Drosophila melanogaster: one gene and its partner. The protein of the gene in region 1 interacts with the protein of each later gene in a pairwise test. Each region holds a gene or a part of one and is shown in the gene's direction. Other genes may lie near its edges. The genes, in order: Cpr78Cc and CG14419.

Region 1 (3,002 bases):
AATACCTGGGTACTTCCACTTTGACCTGCCCGAGGGAGGATACATACGGGTGTTTTATCACGTGGATAAGTACGGCTTCTATACCGAAACTTTGCACTGACATAGAATGATTGAGAGTGTGTGTGTGTGTCTGTGCAGTTCTGCCATAATTGGAAACCAGATTTATTTCAACGAGTCTAATTTGTATTTAAGTTTATAAAAATAAAAATACAAATGCAAATATAGATCAAAAAGTTGCTTAAAACCGTTATAGAAATGCTGTTTAATATCTCGTGATATTCGGTAAGCAGACGTCGAAATGATCTGAGAATTTGTGTATTTGAATTTTAATAATTTAGCAATTCAGATTTGAGAGAATGTAGCCATCTGTCCAATACGTCATAGATTTCGGATAGGGCTTGGATGCTGGTGGGCCGGCTGAACTAGTTTGCCAGATCGGGTGGAGCGTCGATTGATGGGCATTTTATTAGGCGGAGTGCTAAGTGCGAATAGGCCTAGAATACAATTTATTACTGGACAGCGAATTTGTATGCTAATAAGCTGAACTTGCTGTTTTTTTTTTTTGGGGAATTTAAGAATTCCTTGATGAGCAAACAGGTTGTCCGCCTGCGCTCATAGCAAGCCAAATGGCCAATGATAATGAAATCGAAACGAATGATAAATTGGATTGGATGGAATTAAATTAGCTCGCCACGAGCTGCTGCCCCCTTCCAAATCCAAATCCAAATCCAGGTCCATCTCTAAACTTACCATCCACGGGCGAATGTCACAGTCACATGTTCCATTACCGTCGACATAACTCCAAGCCCCCAAAAGCTAACCAAAACTACTATTGGCCATTAAGTGCAAAGTCAAATGATTACCGCTACCAAGGCAGAAGCGTGTTGATCCATCGGCAGAAACCACTTGGAATGGGTTCAGGTGCTTCATTATACTCTAGCTAAGGCTGATATTATTTGGATCAGAGGTTTGCTTTTTTGAGATTGGTAAGATAAGTATATTGTATAAATATTTGAATTTGTTTTCGAAATGCAAATGTTTCAAGATAAGTATCATAAGCCACACCCCTTTTAGAGGCCGTGTAGTTCAAAGTCTTATATTGAAAAAAGAAGACACAAGCCAGTTTAGTCATTGAATTACCCAACTTCTACAGAATTACCACAATACACTTAATTTTAAATGACCATGCATGCTAATTTGTGCTTTATTTAAGGAAAATTTAAAACTATAATCCCTTGTTTGTTCTTCTATAAGAAAAAAAAAACGAAATAATAGCTCTCAAAGAAGTGAGCCCACAAGCCCGATTAATCAAAAAGAAAATAGTTTCCGATTAAGACGAAAATTGCTAGGCAGATAATTAAACTAAGCTAAGCCAAATGCCTATGATTTCTAGGTAAACTTAGCAATATCTGGCAAGGGTATTTCGCACTGCGGTGCTGAAATTCAGATCTCCTTTCCATTTTTTTACTAGCTGCTGAGCTGAATTTTATTCAATTCGATCGGTATGCTGCTGCCGAAAAAAAAAAACGACAAACGTATTAAGTTTGATATTTAGTTTGGAGCGGCGTTTGGAGTTCAGAGCCAGATTAGAGACGTCAGCGATGGCGACGCCAACGCCAAAGTCGGCGTTGCCGTTGGCTGCCTATAAAAGCCACCGCCTGCGAAGATCACCCAACCAGTGAGGATTATACAAGCCAAGAAACCAGCAAGATGTTTAAGCTAGTGAGTAGACTTAGCCGCCCGGAAGGATCCGGATTCAAAATCAGAACGTGAACGTGTGTAACCATTTCAGTCGCTCTGCCTGCTCGCCGCTCTGATGCTGGCCAATGTGTATGCGGACAACATAAACAAGGATGCCGTGATCACCCGCGAGGATGTTAATCCTGCCGACGCCGAGGGCAACTACCAATACGCCTTCGAGACCAGCAATGGTATTCAGGCCCAGGAGGCCGGAAACGTCAATGGCATTAGCGGAAGCAGCTCTTACATCTCCCCCGAAGGCGTCCCCATCTCACTGACCTACGTCGCCGATGAAAACGGCTTCCAGCCTCAGGGCGATCACCTTCCCACCGCTCCCCCAATCCCGGAGGCCATCCTCCGCGCCCTGGAATACATCGCCGCCCACCCTCCACAGCCCTAAATCCCCGATTGGATACCCCATTCAAAGCCTAGTCAGTGCTTTTGCTAAACATGAGTTATATCTAGTTCTAGAAAGTCTGTACATAAATCCCCCAAAAAATAAAAACATAAATAGTTACATCAAATATACCCACAGCCATGCTGATCATTTGAACAGAGTCAAGTATGTTTTCATTATACAAATCGGCAAAAACTAGCTGTACCAAATTGCAAACTTAAACTTCCCAGCGTCTGTTTTTGAATCCATAATTTTTAACCCCAAATTGCATACAAATTATATTATAATATCTTAGTTGTTTTTGGAAGGTCACACTTTTGAGCTGATATTTCTTTTGGGGTAAGGTTATTTAATCACAGATGCAAATGAAGGAACTTGAAATAGATGTCAGATTGTGTCAAAATACTTTATTTTAACCTGATTTTTCATAACGTTTTAAAGTACGCCTCCAATATCGGTTCATTCATTCATCAATCTTGAATCTGAGTCAGGAACATTAGCACATACTGTTTCCAAATGCTTTTCATAATTAAATCAATAATCTTGTGTTTGAAATGTGTTACCATATTAAGACAAATTAAACTGCTGTCCAAAATCATTTATCACACTGCAAACCAGACCCAGGAACTAACCAAGGCAAAAGAAAAAATTCAGCATAAGCAACACCAGACGAACATGAGCACAGACAAATGTGGAAGCTGGCATGGTCATCAACTCACTTGGCTTTTTTCCCTGTTGCCTCAGCTCAGTTATTTTTAAAAAATATATATCCAGTAAACAATCATTTCCATGTAAATCCAACCGAGACTGACCTCCAGCGTGGACACCGACAATTGAAAACGATCATGTTGCCAAGAAAGAGTCT
Region 2 (3,274 bases), on another chromosome or scaffold:
AATTTTAAATCACAATATAAGCATATATCAAGCGAAGCCATTTAACAGAAGGCCTTTAATTATATGTGCAGTAGTTTGTTTGTTGAGCTTAAGCAAGCCGTATAAATATAAATTCAGCTAATGAATAACAAATAGCCGAAAATGCTAATGGAGTAGATCAAAAATCAAAAAAAAGAATAAAACAAATTATAATTATAATAAGTAATAAATAAAGGAATATGTATATACCAGATGGCGACGAGACTCCGCGCAGCGGTTTCACACGCAATTAACATATTCTCTCTGTTGCATTTAAATTGCTGCATATGGATTACTGTTGCACTGTTGTCAATTCAGCTCTTTTCCCGTCATACTTGTACATTTTTTAATTCATATTGCGAAAAACTTGGACTTTTCTGCCATTTTACAATCCCGTAGCCACTTGGAGAAAAATGGGCAACACTGATTACGCTGTGCTTGCTGACCCTCATCCATCGAAGGCCACTCAGGTCCAAACCACCATGCACCACCCACAACCCATCGACCATCAACGCCCACTTTCGCTCCTTTGGCGGGTCCTTTGTTAATTACTTTTTTTTTCGCAGTGCGTTTTTTATTCAATTACTTGTACAAATTGCAAACAGACAAAAATAATATGGCGAGCAAAAAAAAAAAAAAACGAGCAAGTAATCGGCTACGTTATATCAGGTATCAGGTGTGCGGATAAATGTTGCAATTTGTATGATAGCCCGCGACCTCTGACTTCGTTTCCACTCCCCTTTCTCGCCACCAACCGTTCCCATAACTCCAGGCGTCACTTTGCAGTCGCATTAAACAATTAACAAGTGTAATTGATAAACAATTAGCGGCATTATGAGCCAGCCGCAATGCGAAAAAAATGCATACTCAAATGTGCAAACGTATAAACAAAGGAAACTCGATGCTCAAACCAAGAAAACAAATTCCCATCGAAGTGTACTCCAGACTCTAGAAAATCATTAAGCATACAGAATACAATCAATAAAATAATATTAAACGCCCTAGGCCAAACCAAAACCTGTTTAATAACAAGCATCGAAATGTCCAAAGCATTATTTTTGATAAGCGTGAGTAAGGGTATCTATCGCATGTGAAGCCCATATGATACACAAGTACAATTAATGCTTGATAAGGCGAGAATAATTTGTTAATAAATCCAGCAGCCAATTCTCAGAAAGCGCTAATGACCAACGAAAACTACACGAAAAAATGTTTATATTGGCATTACTTTTGGTCAGCGTCTCGGTACATAAACATATGCATAAATACATATGTATATATTAGTTGTATACCCTTCACAAAATTGGTCTTATGTCTACGAATCGATGGGAATGAATAATATGGATGGATAGTATCTTGAAACAATTATATGATAGTTTACAACTAGCTGTATATACTACGATTATTATTTTAAAATTTAACTACTAGTACATTAATATAAAGTAAAACGTATTAAATACCATAGCATTAATTTGAAAGATTTTCAAAATATCTATGGACTCGGTAACTTGAAAAGTTGGGTATCACCAAAAAACCCCCGAAAACTACAGAATTGCTTTAAAAAATTTCAATGTATAATGACAATTTATAGACGTTTTTCTATCGGCCAACCAAAAAAAAAAAACCAGTCGTACCGTCTACGCCCATCTTATGCAAGGGGGGGCGGGGGGGTAGAGGGGCTGGGGCAACAAAAACGCGCTAAGTGCCGTCTATATAAACAAACGCCAGGCGATGATCTCCATTTAGTTGTCTAGTCGAGGGAAACCAAATCAGACGAGAATGCGCGCTTCCATACTGTTTTTCGGCCTGCTGCTGGTGGCCAGCTGCTCCACGATTTTGGCCAGGCCACAGGAGAGCACTACGCCGAGCACCACCACCTCAACCACCACCACCACGACGACTCCGAAGCCTAAAGAGTCGTCTACAACCACTACGACTACGACGACGACAACGGAAAAGCCCAAGTCAGAGTCCACAACTGCCAGTACGACTACCACAAGCACCACCCCGAGCACCACCACCAGCACCACTCCCAGCACCACTCCCAGCACCACTCCCAGCACCACCCCGAGCACCACCACAACCACTACTACGACCACCACTCCAAAGCCCGATGATGATGAGGCCGCCAAGCTGCTGCAACAATGTGCCGAGTTGAGCCGCCGGAAGAAGCGGGGTGGATCTTCCTCGTCCGAAGAGGACGACAGTGGCGAGAAGAAATCGGCAAAGAAGGAGCGCAAGCAGTTGAAGAAACTGTGCAAGCAGTTGAAGAAGCAGCAGGAGCGCAAGCAGGAGAAGGCCCAGAAATCGGCACTATCGGAACTGGCCGAGGCCTTGAAAAACTACAACCAAAAGCAGAAGAACTAATGTGCCAATAAATCTTTTTTTTTACATTTTTTTTCTTTGTTTTTAGTGTACTTTATAATATTTATCAAAAAGTATGCCAATAAAATGGATCTTTAAATAAAAAGCACACGTTCTTGCTTCATTTTTATAATATCAAAATGTAAATTTAAATGCTATACTATTCTCTGATTAAGAACAGTTTCCTTAAAAAAAGTAAGGAAGTAGTTAGCATAGTATTATCCACCTCGATTCGACTAAAAGCGTACCTTATGTTTTGTACTAGACTAATGAACCCATATGCTGTATAAAACAAACAAAAATATGCGCTGATACAAAAGTATTCATTTTTGTCGTAGATTTTTGAATATGGATTTAAACATGAAATGAGCACGTGAAAAACCGACGCGGCAGCTTTCTGAATGAAATCGAATAAATCTAATCAAATTTGTTTAGATTTTCCCTTTTTTATCGTTTCTATTCCAACGAGTAAAGCAACGAAATAGTAGAAAGTACAAACAAATTTGATTTGTAATCGATTTTAGCTTTATTTGCCTGTACATTAGCACTGCATACGTCAAAATAAATCGTTGAAAACGGGAAAAGTTTTTTTTTTTTATTCATATTTTGCGGAAGGAGAAAGTCAATTTTTCGTAGCATAAATTACATATATACATATGCATATCTGTGTATGCTTTTGCTTCCCTGATTAAGCCAAACTATTTGTTGTATCTACCGCAAGTCGCGCCTAACTTCTTAGCTTGGCAAACACGTTTATAAAGATTAATTATTATTTCTAAAAAAAAACACACAGCCGCCAAGCTCGAGCTAAATCAAAATAAAACCAGACCCGTTTTAAAAAAAAAAACCACATATCTAACGCTGTAACAGCCAATTTTACACGGGCAGTTCG

Evidence for each region.
Region 2: the proteins of Cpr78Cc (region 1) and CG14419 interact in a two-hybrid assay, tested with the Drosophila melanogaster proteins (one large-scale study listed by BioGRID).

The regions. Positions count from the first base shown.
Region 1 is NT_037436.4:21,298,911-21,301,912, forward strand, and holds Cpr78Cc (cuticular protein 78Cc), read left to right. Parts: upstream 1-1,669; 5' UTR 1,670-1,710; coding exon 1,711-1,722; intron 1,723-1,792; coding exon 1,793-2,140; 3' UTR 2,141-2,261; downstream 2,262-3,002. Other genes in the region: CG43702 (uncharacterized protein), read left to right, coding at 1-100.
Region 2 is NC_004354.4:2,884,395-2,887,668, reverse strand, and holds CG14419 (uncharacterized protein), read left to right. Parts: upstream 1-1,754; 5' UTR 1,755-1,797; coding exon 1,798-2,385; 3' UTR 2,386-2,483; downstream 2,484-3,274.